Linked DNA regions of Canis lupus familiaris. The protein of the gene in region 1 binds, or shares a complex with, the protein of each later gene. Links are inferred from orthologs where the notes say so. Each region holds a gene or a part of one and is shown on either strand. Other genes may lie near its edges. The genes, in order: RPS6KA3 and BMF.

Region 1 (8,510 bases):
CCGCTAAACCACCCAGGCATCCCAATGAAGAAAATATTCTTTTTTTTTTAAAGATTATTTATTTATTTATTCATAGACACAGAGAGAGGCAGAGACACAGGCAGAGGGAGAAGCAGGCTCCATGCAGGGAGCCCGACGTGGGACTCGATCCCAGGTCTCCAGGATCACACCCCAGGCTGCAGGCGGCGCCAAACCGCTGCACCACCGGGGCTGCCCTGAAGAAAATATTCTTAATTTTTATTTGGGAACTTTAAAAACCCACAAAATTCATATACATGGAAGATATGTCACCATGTATTTTGTTTGATTACTGTCTTATGTGAGATAAAATTTGAGCCTAAGTTTTATCTTTCTTTCTCTCTGTAAAGACATAGTCTCTAGCAATTACTTTTTACTTTTTTGTGAAAAATAAATATGCTTCAGATAATGTGAAGGGAAAAAAGACTCTTCAGAGAGATGATGATGATTACACTCTATGGGTTTTCTATAGTAGTAACAAAGCTATATGTAATAGAGCAGTGAATTTTGGATATGTGTAAGAAAGAGATTGTGCCACGATCTGTAGTTAGTCATCTTGTAACTTTTCCAGACTGATGGAACTCCATTTTTTGAACAAATGTTATTTTGTTAAGTAAATGCCCATTTAAACTTCTATACAAAGGTTGTAATTATAGCAGGAAGTTGTTGGGGACAGGGGAAGTTAAATTTGGTTGTCTTGTCATACATCAGGAATGATTTCTTGGAAGTCTAGTCCAGATTTTCGACTGAGGTTTGCTGTTTCCCTTTGCTGTAGTTTCAAGTAATAACTTTCCAATATTTTGGTTCTGAGTGGGAGATTTATGCAGGAGGTGGGGCATAGAATCAGACTTTTGTGCTGGTTTTGTACCAAGGAGCTCCAAAAGACAGTGGAATGTGAGGATATCACTTAACATTATATTATGACATAAAAGGCTCAATGTGAAACTTCTAAAGGAGTGCTGTCCTCTAGAACTATAGTGCTTATCTTGACAAGTAAGCCCCATATATAAAATGTATAGTAGCTATATGAAGACATAAAAAGAAACAGGTGAAAAAAAAAAAAAAAGAAACAGGTGAAATTAATTTCAATAAAATATTTTATTTAACTCAATATATTCAAAATACTATTTCAACATGTAGTCAATAGAAAAATTATTACCGAACTACTTTATATTCTTTTTTTTTGTACTGAGTTTGTGAAATCTGGTGTGAACTTTACACTTACAGCACATCTCATTTGTGACCAGCCAATCTTATTTTAATTATTTCAAGAGCCATGTGTGGCTAGTAGCTACCATATTAGCCTGCACAGGGTGATCTCTAGAGGCAGCTTCTTTGAATAACTAAGAGTTTTCCTTTCTTAAACGGGAAAGCAAAAAGTACTCCTGTTCAGGGTAATATCAACTTCTATGTTCAAATAACTCTTTTTACCACCACCTACAAGAAATATCCCCCAGGTTCATTTGATTTTCTCAAATTATCCCACCCAGAGAGAGTGGTTGCACAACTTTTGGATTTTAAAAGAAATAAATGAAAAAAAGGTTGTTAACAACAACAACAACAACAACAACAACAACAACAACAACAAAAATTCACATTTCTCTTTGGACAAAAGGAAAGAGAAGGGTGTTTTTCTAAATCAATTCACAAATACTTATCAAGTTGATCCTATGTGCAAGACGGCTGTGCTAGTGGTAGACAGCACATTATTAACAGTTCATTTCATTCTTAATTCCTGCAATATGAGTACCGGCCACAGTAACTTCGTTTTAGAAGTATTCTTCTAGTTTTCAAGGTAAAAAGAATAAAAGTTGATACCGAAATCAACTTTTCAGTATACAACTTGATTTATTACTGTGGAATAATTCGCACGGGTTAGTGTTAGACACATAATAACTGCCTCCTTAAATACAAGGTATGTTTTTACTCAAGCAAGAATCTCAGTTGTAATAACTGATCAGTTTGGTGGACCAATTTACCTTAAACTAACCAAATTGACCAACTTCTTTTCGCTATAAGGAATGGTAATATGGGTTTGCAATGTAAATGAAAGAAAGAAAAATTAGGCACTTCCTACATAAATATAAAGCAGCGCACAACTCCTTATTCTTAAACTTCTGCGAACTGGTTTTACCTTCCGGAATTACGGAGACTGTGCTGCCAAATTAGCTGAGTCTGGGTCCAGACTGGATTTGCAGCACTAGAATCAAGCATGTTGGGGGAGGTGACACAATCACGAGCTAAGTCCTCCCCACCCCCCGCCGCACAGACCACGCTGAGCCTGCCCAGATGTTGCTCAACCCTGAGCTGTCCCCCTGAGTCCAAGGCTGCGAGAGAGGGCGCACGGCGAGGACTTCCGGCCACCTCCTTGGGCCCCCTAAACAGATGGAGTCGCTTCTGGTGGCCACGAGGCTCCCGGGCCTCGAGCTTGTGCCAGAGGGCGTGCAGGCGAAGGCAGCAGAAAGATCCGAACACCTGCCTTCTTCGGGGCCAGTGAGAAACCTTGCACCGCCCGCGCAGACCTGGCCCGCCAGGAGTGGGGCTCTAATCTCAACCTCACACCTGCCTTAGGGAGGAAGACAAGGGCTCTCCAGGTGTCTGGGTCCCGGGATGATGAAAGCGAGCTGTTAAAAGGCGTGCACCGGAAGCGCAGCGGGGGACGCGAGGTGGCCGCGGGGCGTGGGAGGACCGGGACGCCTGGGCCCAGGCCTGAAGGGATGAAGGCACTGGCCTTCCCGGAGATTTCCCTTTACTTTTTTTCCTTCTCGTAGAGAGGGTTGGCCAGTGGCTGCAGTAGCTTTCCACTCAGCCCAGCGACTTTTACAGAATTTTGCCCAGGCGCACGGAGTCTGCTAGGCACCTGGCGTTGGGAACACGAGGTGGAACCGCACCCCCCACCCCCCCACCCCAGCGACACTCAGTCCCGACGCCCAGGCCTCTTCCCACAAACTCTCAGTCCTTTTGGATTCCGTTGCCGTCTGGGGATTGGTTTTCCTTAACCCAGGGCTTCCCTATCTTGGGCTGGAGGAGTTAGGACCTCCCTCGCTTTCTCTCCTCCACCCTGGGCCAGCCTGATTTTTTAATCTAATCTTTTATTTAGAGTCAACAGTGGAGCAAGAACCCCAGGCTCCTGCCAACAAGATATTTTAAAATAATTCCCCAACCTCTGCTGAGTGGGGCAGCCTCAAGGAACCTCCTTGTTTTTTTTCCTCGTACAGATTTAGGTACCAGGGAGCGGGGACTTTGAGAGTCGAGGTTCATGCCCGAGGGCTCTGCAGACTTTGGGTGGGGGGCGACTCAAGCAAGACAAATGAATTCCAAATATTAAAGATATAACACAACTGCCTCGATTTGGAGAGCCTTGAATCAAATCGAGAGACGAACCTCCAGGGGGCTCCAGGGCACAAAGCTTACGTGTCCCCATCCTGGGGGACGTTACGGAGGAGGGGGCGGCAGGTGAGTGCCCAGCGTGTGAGCCTGGATAGGGCGGATCCTGGCCCATTAAAGGATGTGCCCATAGACACTATGCTCCCCACAAACACCCACTGAGGAGTCAGACCGAAAAGACACCCACTCACTCCCCGGGTCCTTGACACCCGACTGCGCCCACTGTGCCTCGCCCACCTCCCTCCCCAGCTAGGCGGAGACCACTGTTCTCTACATCCTTAAGTAGCCTCCGACCTGCTCGGACCCTTAGCCTAGGGCTCCCAGCCTTTAGCTTTCATTGCCCTTCCCCTTTTCTTTCCCCTGCCGCCCGCCGACGCCCCCAGATCTCTCCGGCTCGCCCTTCCTGAAAGTAGGCGAGGCCCAGAAGCTGAGGTTGGGGCGAGGAAGGAGGGAGGAGCGAAGCGCGGCGGCCGGGGGCGTGTCTTCCCAAGCCCCGCCCCCGGGTGCGCGCGGCGGTGGCGGCGGCGGCCGAGCCTCGCTCTGAGAGACAGGTATCGCTTAGGCGCCATGTTGTGAGCGGAAGTGGGGGAGCGCGCGGCCGCCGCTGTTCTGCTGGGAGCGGGCGCGGGAACCGGCGGGGGGGGCGGAGCTGTAGTCCCGGCGGCGGAAGGAGGAGAGGAAGAAAGGGGCGAGACCCGGTGCCCGGCAGCGGCGCGAGGCTCTCGCTCGGCGCGCGGACATCTCCAGCCAGGCGCGCGGCGTTCGAGGGTCGGTGTCGGCGCCGAGCCCTCTCCCGGGCAGCCGGCGCTGGTGCTGCTGCTGCTGCCGCCGCCGCTGCTGCTGTCGTGGGGCTCGGGCGGCGACAGAGCGGGGCCGGCCGCGGGGCGGGCGGGGAGGGAGGAGGCGGTGAAGGCGGCGGGCCGGGGGGGAAGATGCCGCTGGCGCAGCTGGCGGACCCGTGGCAGAAGATGGCTGTGGAGAGCCCGTCCGACAGCGCTGAGGTGAGTGCCGCCGGGCGGCCGGGGGCTGGCGCGCCCCTCCCCTCGCCCCCGCCGGCCAGCTCCCCTCCCTGGAGCTGGCCACTTGGCCCCTTCCTCTGCTGCTCGCGTCTCCCCTCGGTCTGGGATTCCGGTTTGGGTAGTTGGGGTTGGTCTATTTGCCCTTCTCTTCCACCCGCACCCTCACCTCCCCTCCCTCGCTCGGGGGGCTGTGGTGTGGTGGCGCGTAGGGTTTGGAGTGGGCGCTGGGGCTTTGCAAGAAGCTGATTTTAATCAACTTTGCGTGGGGGGACCGGGAAGCGGAGCGGGGGCCGAAGAGGAGTTGGGAAGTTTGGCCCTGCCTGCTTGGGGGCTTCCCTGGACCCTGGCGACTTTGGAGTGTAAGGGAGGGGTATGGATTGGGTTCGCTGGGAAGCAGGGACTCCCGAGTCCGGCCAGGGGAGGGAGTTGGTGCTGTGAGTCGGGCGCGCAGGGGCCAGAACGGCCCAAGGCAGGACTGGCGACCTGTGGGGGCTTCGGGTAAGGGGTACAGGACAGCCAAGGGTTTTTGCCTTCCCCCCAGTCTGTCTGCCGCAGCGGTTTCTGCTGGTGCAAAGGAGAAAGTGGAAGCCTGAGATCCACCCCCCTCCCCCATTTCTGAGGTCGCTGAGCTCGAGGACCCCAGTCCCTAGGAGCTTTAACTTGAGTTTCCTGTCCATGGAGGTGAGAGGGTGATGTTCAAGGCGATCATTAGCCGCCCTAAAGGGCTTTCAGGTTTTCTTCGCCCGGGATCTATTCGATGACGGTCCCTGAGACACCTAACCGAGTGCCAAAAACCCAAAACAATATACCCAAACACGGCAAAACAATTTCCCCGGACACAGCCTAGCATCGAGCTTTCGCAGCCGTCCCTGTCCCAGAACCAACTCGGGGTCTGCGAAAATAATCCAGACAAGACCCATTCCAGGGCATCAGCGCTCCTCTCCGAAGTGGAAAATCAATTCCTGATGGTGGCACGTCTGTGATTCTCCCTTCTTGACTTTTTGCTATCTTCTATCCCCGCAGCGGACTTTGGGGGATTACAGGATGATAGCCTGCGTGTGTGTAATAGTTAGTGAGTGACCCCATTTCTGGAAAGCATGACTGAAACGCGGGGGTGGAATGGGGCAGGCTCTGATGAGTGGTGTACTTGGCGGCAGCCGCTGCCCTGCCGGCCTCCGCAGTGTGAGAGGTGGATAGGGTTACTGGTTACGTCAGTAAGACCGAGGCTCAGTTTGATCTGAGATGCGGGACACTTGCATTCTCGGGTATAATGGAGGGGGAGGGGAGTCAGTTCAAATTGCTTTTCAATTTTTTCCTAGTCACCTCCACCCACTGCTGTATAAAATGTTTACTTGCTCTCCTTAACGTGAGCAGAGTTGTAATAGTGCTTACGGCTGGTACTTAGTATTTTGTGACTTGGATCATATTTTTAAAATCTAAGCTAAACGCTGCTCTTCAATGGAAAAGATATTGATAGATGTTTTCTAAATATTTTTAAAAAGGAAATCACGTTTTTAAGACTAGCAGGATTACATTTAAATTTTTGTTAGCCTGTTTAATACTATCGATGTATTATAAGGAAATTGAATTTAAAATGTTTTATCATCCTTTGAATGGATAGTATGGAAATTAGTATGCAAACAGACTCTTTTCATTCATTTTTTCCTTCAGATTTATTTGCATTGAGTAATATAGCTAAAAGCTTTATAAAATATGTTCTCAAAGTGCTGACCTTGTGAAAAGAAATTGAATTGCTTTGAGCCTGATTGTTACATGCAAACGGTAACATTTGCAACTCATAATCAGTCCACATTTCTGCTTGGCACGTATCAATGTGTTAAAAAATCATTTAAAATTCCACCTTATCTTTTTTCTACATAGCATACATTTGGATAAGGAAGGCACAAAACTGATATTTATTTAGCACTTACTATATGCCAGATACTGTGGTACATGCTATTTCATTTTATCCTTCCTATGACCCAACAGAGTAGGGTTGTGATCCTCATTATTACAGATTAAGAAACGGAATATCTGAAGTTAAGGGCACAAAGATTATAAATAGTAAACGACAGAGCCATAACTCAAAGCCGAGTGGGTATAATTCATGTGCTTTGCTTTATATTAAGGTAGCTGCTTCAGATCCTTTGTGGAAAAATTCAGGGTATAAATAAATAAGCCAGTAGTTGGAGGTCATGTATTTTTCAGAAACAGTTACGGTATTATAAGCGATCGCACTTGTTAAAGCCTAGTTATTTCAGTTACTGTCATGGTTTCCAGAACCTGGCAGATAGGATTCCACAACTTGCCATTTTCAAAGAATTTTCTTGATATTCTGGCATAAGATATGTCACAGGGAGCTGGAGTTGCCTAGATTAATTTTTTAAAGATTTTTTAATGGCCTTTAGATATTTTGTTGCCTTTGGTGGTTCATCTGTTTCAAGTAAATTACTTCTGATACAATTTTGGAAATTGAAGCCAGCAAGGAAAAGGTTGAGAATTTTCATTCAGAAGTCTAATATTGAACTTAATATTATGTCTGCTATTATGCCATCTCCTCCCCCAGTAAGTTCTTAATAGAAAGTAATTATATTTTACCAGAATAAAGTCATTTTTTGAAAGATATTTACTTGAGTAAATTCATCGAAATTTTTTCTTTCTGGGCTAAAAGGTGTCAGGGTTGGTCTCTATAGAGATTTACATTTGTGGTCTGATTCCTAGTAGATTGTAAAATCTTGAAAGGAGAGCCTTTTTTTCCTTTGTATTCTCAGCACTTAACACAGTGCCTGGCACATGTATATTATGAATCCAATAGACATCCACTGAGTGAATTATGATGGTCAGGAATAGGGTGATTATCAATGTTACTTCTGTTCTAATCATTTTAATCTTACATTGAAATATGAGCAATCTTAAAAACCTGAGTACCTCACCGAAAATACAAGGCAGTTTCTTCATTCCTTTACATAGCCTTCCTGCTTTTAAGACCTCACATGGGTCTCATGGTGCTCAAAACAAAAAAACCCTTGTGGTTAACTCAAACATGGGTCATAACATGATAGGCTAGAACTAGGCCAAATGTTTAAAGAAGCAAATTTAGGATAATAAAGGAAGTACTATGTAAGCAGTCAAGGTTAGTACAAGATTAAAAACAAAATAGTGTCCTAAATAGTCTAGGTGAATTCACAACTCTTTAGTGAGTTATTTAAAGATGCTAGTATGTTTTTGAGTGTCTGACGGTTTAGGAGACAGATATCAAGGAATTGTGACTATTCTGTAAATTCCTTGCCACTGCTGTCAGAGATAACATTTACTAGATCATAAGCCTGACCTAAAGTGACACTTTTTCTAAGTTTTCAATAAAGGATAAATGATAGTAAATGTAAATAAGAACAATTTTAATTAATTTAGCCTTAATATACTTAAGGTTATTTTTGCTTTATAGAAATGTGCTGTATAAAAATAGCCACCTTGAATTGTTTTAAATAGCAAGTACCCATAATGCATTAAAATATTAATTATATAAATATTTTCTTTATAAAAAATGAGACCCTTGTGTTGGAAACCATCTTCAGTGAATGTGCATCCATTTTTATCTTCAAAGATTGTATTGGATTCTGGAGTATTTCTACTATATTGATATTAGGTTTCTTATTTTTATCTGTAGGGAAATACATTCTATTGAAGTATGATCATTGATTTTGAAAAATGTTTTATTAAGTTTCTTTTCCTTTTCCTGTTTCATTTCTATCACCTTTCAGGTTTTTTTCTTTCCCCCAAGTGAAGATCTGAGGAGAGGACAGGTATTGTTACATGTCAACTGTCAATAGTAACTGTGACACATTACTGAGCACTTCATTGTTTTCAGTGATTATGATATTATAAGATGTCAGTTTTTGTTCAACTAAAATTTAGGAAAGTTTGCTTTTTTTGCAGCTCTTCCTATACTAATTGGATTGATCCAAAATGTGAAACTTCTTTGGTACATTTAAATTTTAAGATAAAGAGATAAACCTAAAGAAACAAGTATAGGCAGACTTTGCCTTTTCTTTAGTATGTTTCTGGAAATTAAAATGAGTATATCCT
Region 2 (8,668 bases), on another chromosome or scaffold:
CGGCACCTCAGCCCGGCGCCCCCCACCCCCCAACTGGCCGGTTTCAAAGCGGCTCCCTGGGAATCTTCCCCTGAGGTCCACGAGGGGCGATCTCCCCACCTGGCCTCGGGCAGACGCGGTGTGGCAGATGAGGCTGCGGAAGCCACCCATTCCCCAGGAGAGATCGGGGCTTTCCTGCCCCAGGTGGGACGAACCGCTCTTAGAAGCCTGAGCCCAGAGGCGGCAGGTAACCCACTTGGAGCTCTGAGAGGGCAGGAGTGCTCGGACAGTTGGGCCCACCCAGTTCACCGGAACCACAGCAGCCCAGGCCAAGACCCCGGGACCATGCCCTTGGGGTCCCGGCAGACACGGAGTGGCTGAGGCAGGTCCTGGTCCACCCCCACCCCCCAGCCCCAGAAGACTCTCCTCCCGCCCCAGCCCAGCTCCCAGCTCCCATGCCTACTTGCTGCATGTGAAGCCGATGGAACTGGTCTGCAATGCACTGAAGCTTTCGGGCAATCTGTACCTCTGCTCGATGTTGCCACTGCCCTTCCGGGGGCTGCTCGAGGAGAGGCAAGCCTGCAGGGAAACTGGCAGGGAGAGGGAGCCGGTAGCCAGCGTTGCCTGCGAAGACAGAGGGCCCACATCTCAGCGTTCTCCACAACTCCACTATCCACCCCGAGGTGCCTGACGCTCCCTGCTGAGACCTGGGGCCGAGGCCTTCATCGGGGCACTCTGCCAGGTTTGGACAGACAGATCTGCTGGCTGCCCAGGCGTCTAAAAGCTGCCGTTCAGAGAACGGGAGGGAATGGTCCCAGCCTTCCCTGTAGTTCTCCATTCACAGGCAGTGCCAGGGTACAAGTAGTATGTGTGGGTGAACCTGCCAGCCTTCTGTCTTTATTTACCAAGCTATGCTTGACCACAATTTATTTTTCATGCAGTAGCAGGTTGAAGCTCTTCTCTGGAAAAGCACCGGAGGCAGCTCTCCAGAGTTCCTGGGTTGAGCAAAGCAAGGCAGAGAAAGAGAAAACCAAAATGTGCCTTCACTTTTTCGTCTGGCTGGGCCCAGGTCCCACAGCTCGGGACAATGGTACTAAAACTAGGGAGAGCAAACTCTTCAGACCCACTGGATAGCCAAGTTCCTCTCTGGAGGAGCCCCAGGCCAGACCGCAAGAGCTAGAGACCAGCGCTGCACCCTACCCCAGTGCTGGCAGTCGAGCTGCCGCTAGGGGTGCCTGCCTGCCTGCCTTCTTCCTCTGTTCCTTCTTCCCTGCCGGCCTTATCCATCTCCTCAAACTCCAAAAAGAACTGCAGGGCAGCTCCCTCTGGGAATAACTGCAGCGTCTTCTCAATATGCTCCATCAGACATAGCAAGTTCGCCTCCAAGCCCTTCCCCTCCCTCCATAAGCTATTGTGCTAAAAGAAGAAAGCAGACTAAGTGTCTAACCCTGTCCCTTTGCCAGAGGAGGGCATGTTACTCATAAAGCAAACCATTTAAGCCCACAAATGAAGGGGTCTTGTCTGATTGAGCCTTGGAAACAGCCCCTCTACTGGCATCGAGCCCCGGCAGGCCCAACCTCTTTCTCTAGTTCCCCTTCCAAGCACAGAAAGTCCCAAGTGACACCTTCTGCCTTCAGGAATCTTCCCCTCCCAGAAAGGGCCGGGTTTTTCCCTTCAGTGTCAACAGCGATTCACACAGATCTCCCAACCTTCACTGGGGCCACATTGGCCAATTTACAAAAGGCATATCACTCCCAGGACACAAAAGGCTGGGCCGCTCAACGGGCCACAGGATGTAAAACTCAAGGCCCAGGTACCACTCTCCTATCCCAAAAGGTACCACAGACCCAAGGATCCCTGCAGAAACGGACAAAAAGGCAGAAATGATGGCAGGCATAGCAATTTGCCCTTCTCAGTGCCTAAGGAGCACAGGTGAAGAGCAATGACAAGCAGAGAAGCAGAATGACAAGAATCGAGGAATCAATAGCCCCTGCTGTTCAATTTGGGGAAGGAAATAACAAAGTGCACGTTTGGGGAGGGGAAGTCCCCTCTTTTCCCCCAGTCTCTATGGGAGGAGTCCTGAGGCTAAGAGCACTCACCATAAAAGAGTCGCTGGGGCTCTTCGGTCACCCCACAAGGCAGCATGACACCCTGACTTGGGGAGGCCGGACTGAGGGTCTGGGTGGCCTTGTCTTCCTGGCTGGTGGGTCGAAGCCCAGGGCCACAGCAGTGGGTGAGAGGGAAGAGATGCAGACGGCTGAGGGGGCAGTCCAGCTGGCTCTGGGCAAACAGGTCAGCAGAGAGCAAGCTCCCAGGCTGGGTCCCCGGCTCCCCATCCTCTGGCTGGAACACATCATCCTCCAGCTCCTCCACACACTGAGGCGGCTCCATCTCCCCTGTTAGAGCACAATGCAGGCCTCTGGGATGCTGCTTCTACCCAGGCCAAAGCTGAGGGATTCCCCTCCCCTTTTTTCTTTCCTGCTTCCCCTTCTTATTTGGGTGAGTAGGGCCAGGTACTGATGACAGACAACTGGTGATAAAGTACTACCAAGGATGACACCCGCCCCAAAGGCTGAGGACAGCCTCACTGCTCCATACCTCTTCCCTGGGCCTTCTGGGAGCCACCCCCCACCTTGGTCTTTTCTCCTGACCCAGGCTGGTTCCGGTCATGAAGTCTGACTGCTATTGACTCTGAGCACTAGCAGGGGTATGATCAACGGCTACAAGCATGCAGGACACCTGGGGAAATGTCAACAAGACCAGACCCTGTGAGTGGCTATGGGAGGGCAGAGGGTGCTGGGACTGGCTGTACACACAGTGCTCGCTCGCTCTCTCTCTCTCTCACACACACACACTCACTCACTCACTGCCCTGAGGAGTAACCACCAAGCTCTCATTTCAGTCTGAACTGAGCTCCAGGCTCAGCAGCAAAAACAAAAGCCAGCAACTCTAGGGCAGCCAGGTTCCCTCCAAACCTGTTAAGCCCCGCCCAGCTGCCGATCTACCCTAGTCTCCACCCCCTGCTTGCTCAACACAACAAACAGGCTCCACGGTGTGGTAAGAGTGGGTCCTGGGAGAGAGGGCAGAAAGACCCAAGTGAGTCATTGGCCTCCCAACAGAGCAGAGCCATCTGCCCACCACAGCTTGGCCTAGAGGGTAGGTCCAACATCCAGCAATGTGGCCAGCCTCCCCCAGCTCAGCCTACTCACTCGTCTCCATGACTTTAATCTTCTTTGCCCACAGTCTACCTACCATTCCTGTCGGCACCGAACCTGAGATTGGTCTAACCCTCCTTACAGAAGGAAGTGAAATTCAGCCCTCTTTTTGTGACCTCACTCACTGTCTCTGTACTACTCAGGTTGTTGATAGGAGTTTCTTGGTAATAAAGAAGTTCCTCTTGCTCCACCTGATGGTTCTTGGAAATCTGAGCTTGGAGCCACCCAGCATCTTGAGCTCCCAACTCAGCCCCCTACATACACACACATACACCAGGAACTTGTTAGGGTCCCTGGGGCAGCCAGAAGCAACAACTACCTGAATGGTTTGGGATTCAGAGGGATACTGTTTGTCACTGCCAGATTCAATTAGAGATCCCCTGGGAATTTTGTCTCCCAGTCTCTTTCTTGCCTTTGAAGAACAAGCCAAATGGTCTGTAGGCTGGTAAGATACTTAAAGGAATCTCACTTAAATTCAGAAACTTGGCTTTCCAAAATGCAAGCTCTCTCCGAGGCGCTTGCTTCAACCTTCCCTCCATCCCAACCAGTCCATGAGCTACTATGACCCTATCTTTGCCCTCTTCCCTGGTGAGTGAGGAGATGCCAGCTTGGATGGCAAAACAGGCACATGGTGTTCTTTAGAAAGTGTTTCCCAAAGGAGGGTAGGAGATCTTCAGCTTATCAGCAACAGGAAACAAAGTTTCTTGCTGAAAGGACCAAGTACTGTCTTGCCAGTCACCTGGCAGGGGCTCTTCTCCAGCCTTTCAGCCTTCTCTCTGCAGACTGGCAATCCCAGGCTAAGAGGGGGCCCTCCAAAGCTAATCACAAGCAGGAGTCATTGTCTTGGGTTTTCCTTTGAAGCCAGTCACCTCCCCCTCCCCCACCCAGCAAGGCCCCAAAGTTCAACCCTTGCCTGGACTGGACTGTCGGGGAAATGCAGCCATAGGGTGTGTCTCTGCAAGCCCTGGGGACCCTACCCATTCTCCACAAGAACTGCAGGTGGCTCCTCTGTACGTGGGAGCCTCCCGAGGGGTGCTGGGCAAAGTCAAGTGTAAACTGGGATATGGTAAAGAGACCCTCTGCTCTCTTCGCCTGAGCTGAGGAGGTGATGTCCAAACTGGTAGGAGGAGCACACTTCTTGAGAGCACTGCCTGGGAAGGTTTTATTCCTAGCAAAGGGGAACCAAAGCCCGCTTTGGAACCATCTCAGCCCCGAAGGGCTGTAAGAGGGATGCTGAACTTAAGACTCCTCCTCCTAGGAGAATAGCCAGGCACTCGGAGGTTCCGTAGGAGTTAAAATCTGGGAACGCACACATACATGCGTACACACCCACACGACACACAGCAGACCTGGGTGACTCCAGGAGAGAGTCTCGGCCTCCGAGTCGTGATGCCAGGGCTCCGCGCCAGGGTCCAGCGTGACGAGCACTCGGGGGCTTGGCGCCCAGAGTCAATTGGGAAGGAGGGAAAGAGCCCAGCTGTTAAGGAGAGGAGCCTTCAGACTCCGCAGGGAGGCTGGACGCCCCCCCACCCCCTGTCCTACCCCCGAGTCAGATCCAGAGGCCGGGCCGTTCTCGGGAGCCCAGGGCTGCTCAGCAGTGAACCGCAGCTTCCCCTGCCCACCTGGACCCAACTCCCTGCTGTCTGAAATGCTACTGCCCCCAAGTTCCCTCGCGGAGCAGCGCACCTAGATAAGGGTCCTGCACCGCGTTCCCGCACCCCGGCGCTCCAGTCCTCCATGGTCCCCCCACACGCCCGCAGCCCAACCCTTCTCGGGCCCCCATGCGCAGCTCGACTCCTCGCCCCACTTCCCGCCGAGGTGCGATCCAACTCCGCCCGGCCCCCGGCCGCCCGCGCGCTCACCGGGCTGCGGCGGGTGGCGGGCGGCGCGGGCAAGGGCGGCGGCGGCAGCTGGCGGGCCGGCGCGGGAGGAGGCCGCCGTGCACCGCGCGGTATTGTTTCCAAAATACGCCCGCTCGGGGCATCCCGCAAACAGCTGATGAGGCCCCGCCTCCGGCGCGTCACGCCCCCGGCGGCCAATGGCGAGCGGAGCCCCGAGTCCCGGGCTGGGCGGCTGCCAGGGACCGTCACGAATGTACCAACCTTCCCTTGGAAACACTGCAAGGGGCCGAGCGAAATTCCGGCTCCCGTCAGAAACGCAATCGGAGAGCCGTAGTCGGCGCAGATTCCGATCCCGAGCGCAAGCCCGGGAAGGACCGGAAAGGCCCTGGTCCTCTCCATTAGAAGGGAGAGAGGGGGCGCCAAAATGACTTTTGTCTTCTCTTTCTCGGGAATGGTCTGAATAATGACGGAGCGTCCAGAAAGGGAGAAGAGGAGGACGCAGCGGGCGGCGTCCGTCGAGGGCAAGGTGCGTGTCCTCGTGGACCCCGGCCTGGTGGCAAAGCGCCCTCCCGCCTGCCTAGCCCGGCGGAAAGAAACTCCAGGCGCGAATCTTCGGGAAGCATGCGGACACCTGCGTCTGGCACTGTTACTACTGAGTGACATTCAGATCTAACACATCCAGAGGGACCCTCAGGTCCTCTTCTTGAGGGGGCGTGGACACCTACAAAATAAGTATGTAGCCGAGGAGAGGGGAGATCGAGAATGCAGGGGCTGCTTGAGCAGTTGACACACATCCTGTTTATGGCAGCATCCAGAGATGGGGTTTGTGCTGCCAAGAAGATTATGTGTCCTGTGGATCTCCTGCTATCCATAAGGAAGTCCCCAGGCCACTTCACAAACATTCATTGAATACCTGCATTGTGCCAAATACTGGATTAGGAGCCAAAACCCTGTGCCTGTCCTCAGGGAGCTTACAGTTTATTCAGGAGAGGAAGATTCGAAAATTATGGAATGTGACATGAAATGTGTTAATTTTTAGGGACAAGGACTGCTGGAAGCTGCAGAAAAATTCAGGACACAAAACACTGGGGAAAGCTTCAGGAAGATGGCTTTTGAGTTGCGCCTTGAAGAATGGGGAGATTTTTCGATAAGGAAAACCAGGTAAAGTACCCTAAGCCCACGGCAGCAGAATAAAATGCTGAACTGGAGAATCTGTCCTGGGAGCAGAGAAGGCTGAAGGAGGGGTCATTGGTTGCATCCCAGGATTTGGGAAAGGGTGGTCATGGACAGATAGATTCAGGTCAGAGTACATAGGTGTCCATGCAATGCTAGGCTGGAGAATCTGTACTGGAGGCAAAAGGGAGCCACCAAAGATTTTTTTATAGAAGATGAGTGACTTGGGGGCACCTGTGTGGCTCAGTGGTTGAGCATCTGCCTTCAGCTCAGGTAATCATCCCAGGATCTTGGGATCCAGTCTCCCATCAGGCTCCTCGCAGGGAGCCTGCTTCTCCCTCTGCCTATGTCTCTGCCTCTCTCTATGTGTCTCTCATCAATACATAAATAAAATCTTAAAAAAAAAAAAAAAAAAGAAGGAAAAGGAACACCTGGGTGGTTCAGTGGTTGAGTGTCTGCCTTTGGCTCAGGTCACGATCCCAGGCTCTTGGGTTCGAGTCCTGCATGGAGTTCCCCGCAGGGAGACTGCTTCTCCCTCTGCCTATATCTCTGCCTCTGTGTGTCTCTCATGAATAAATAAAATCCTTAAAAAAAGAAAAAGAGAAGAAGAAGAAGAAGAAGAAGAAGAAGAAGAAGAAGAAGAAGAAGAAGAAGAAGAGGAAGGGGAGGAGGAAGGAGAGTAACTTAACTAAGGCTGCATTTTAAGAAAGATAAAAGAAGCCAAAATCAGTGAGAGAGAGCCAGTCACTGCAATAGACTGGGTGGTCGATGATGGGCCTGACCCCAGGGATAGTCGGGATGGACAGTCCTCTGACCACCAAGTTGCTCTCTCTGGTTGTAAACTCAGGCAGATTTAAGTTTAGTGGAGCTGGAATGCTTAGCCCAGAGGAGCCTGAAGTCTCCTTGTACCTTTTTCCTACCCATTCTTCCCTGAGCTCCCTCAAAGCATACCTGAAAGAGAGCCAACCAGGCATATTGAGGGCTGTGGTTGCTAGAGCAGGAAAACACTATCTCCAAAGTCCAGAGAAAAGAGAAAAGGGAAAAAAGATGAGGGTCAAAGTTGGCCAGCAGCCCCATCCTCCAGGAGTTGACGGATGTTCAGAAAGAGGTGCTGGAGCCAAAAGGAGGTATGTTACTTTACCAGGAGGCTTGGCTAAGAGGGAGTGTCACCTGGTCAGGGTGACCTAGCATTCATGCCACATGTGGGTAAATTAGGAAACCAAGCCCAGCTTCCATGCAGGGCACTGGGGAGCCCTTGCCACATTCACCACGCACAGACCTCTTTCCCCTCCTTCCTTCTATCCTTCTCTTCTTAATGGCTTTCCACCTGGGCCAATGTCTCAAGCTGGCCAGTAATGACCATGTGTATTACTTAGGATCAGGAATGGAACTGAAGGACTCAGCAGCTCTGAACCTGTCTTCTCAGGCATCATAGGCCCTGAGAGGGAGAGGTCATACTAATTCCCCTTATCTCTTCACCTACTCCACTCCCCAACCCTTGCTCCAAGCTGCTACTGCTCTGTCTGCTTCATCACAGCAGATTTGGGGCCACAAGGCAAGGAAGATGGTAGAGCAGGATTTTTATCTGGGATCCATGTACTTGCCAGACTCACCAGGGTGTCCTTAGCTGTAGGGTCTATGAACCCCTGAAATTGGCTAAATTGTATATGTGGGCTCACACAAACATTTTGAGGGGTGGTTCCATAGCTTACAACAGTTTCCCAAAAGGGCCTATGGCCCTATAAGAAGTTAAAAATAACCAATGTAGGGGAGTAGGGCTGAGAGCAAAAGGGATCACCTAAGTGGATCTGGGTAGTTTGCAAGATGGGAGGAGGGTCACACCATCTAGTGTCATCTCTTCTAAGACCTCTCTCCCAGGCCTTCCCAGCCCCTCTCTCAGACTGGTTCTGAAGGACACCCAGTGGCTTGGCCTCCTGTGCTCTCAGCCCCTAAGGTCAAGCAGCAGGGGCCCAGCCTTCTGAGCTGCAGAGACCAGAAAAGATTGTCAGGGATAAAGGGGTCAGGGAGGTCAGGAGCCTCACTCCCCACCTCTCATCACTGTCAAAGCAGACTCCTCCCTCTATACCGTTCCTTCCCTGCCAGTGCAGGGCAGACTCAGCAGTGTCAGGACCTGCTTGGCTGGAGATCTGAGGCTCTGAACCCCTGACCACAGTAATGCCTTGGTTACCGCCAGCCACAGCTATCTATTTTGGAGAATTTCCTCTCTCTCTCTTTCTCTTCCCACCTCTGTACCAGTTTGTTTTTTCCTTATGATGGCTCTAGAAGGAAGGTCCCCAGAGAAAGGCATAGTTGCTCTGAAAGGCACCAGCATGGAGGCCTGATATGGAGTCAGACCCTCCTAACAATCTGGAAGGGATGCAAAGAGTTAAAAGGAGGCTGCTTTCAACAGAAGAGAAAACCCAGCTCCCTATAGAAAGCAGGCAGCGGCCCTCTCCATTG

What was found.
Region 2: the proteins of RPS6KA3 (region 1) and BMF are in contact, whole or in part, in a crystal structure (PDB 8R58), measured with the Homo sapiens proteins. The link is inferred for Canis lupus familiaris from reciprocal best matches to the Homo sapiens genes RPS6KA3 and BMF. Residues at the interface, in NP_004577.1 of Homo sapiens: Trp252, Phe259, Phe268, Leu281, Ala283, Lys284, Leu285, Gly286, Met287, Pro288, Leu299, Arg300, Phe303, Lys304, Arg305, Asn306, Asn309; in NP_001003940.1 of Homo sapiens: Glu8, Leu10, Glu11, Asp12, Asp13, Val14, Phe15, Gln16, Pro17.

The regions. Positions count from the first base shown.
Region 1 is NC_049260.1:16,241,683-16,250,192, reverse strand, and holds the start of RPS6KA3 (ribosomal protein S6 kinase alpha-3), read left to right. Parts: upstream 1-4,322; 5' UTR 4,323-4,337; coding exon 4,338-4,406; intron 4,407-8,185; coding exon 8,186-8,227; intron 8,228-8,510. UniProt on the Homo sapiens protein: Serine/threonine-protein kinase that acts downstream of ERK (MAPK1/ERK2 and MAPK3/ERK1) signaling and mediates mitogenic and stress-induced activation of the transcription factors CREB1, ETV1/ER81 and NR4A1/NUR77, regulates translation through RPS6 and EIF4B phosphorylation, and mediates cellular proliferation, survival, and differentiation by modulating mTOR signaling and repressing pro-apoptotic function of BAD and DAPK1.
Region 2 is NC_049251.1:7,602,237-7,610,904, forward strand, and holds the start of BMF (bcl-2-modifying factor), read right to left. Parts: upstream 5,159-8,668; 5' UTR 5,057-5,158; intron 5,008-5,056; exon of another isoform or gene 4,881-5,007; intron 4,672-4,880; 5' UTR 4,544-4,671; intron 2,719-4,543; exon of another isoform or gene 2,578-2,718; intron 2,376-2,577; 5' UTR 2,371-2,375; coding exon 2,079-2,370; intron 604-2,078; coding exon 443-603; intron 1-442. UniProt on the Homo sapiens protein: May play a role in apoptosis. Isoform 1 seems to be the main initiator.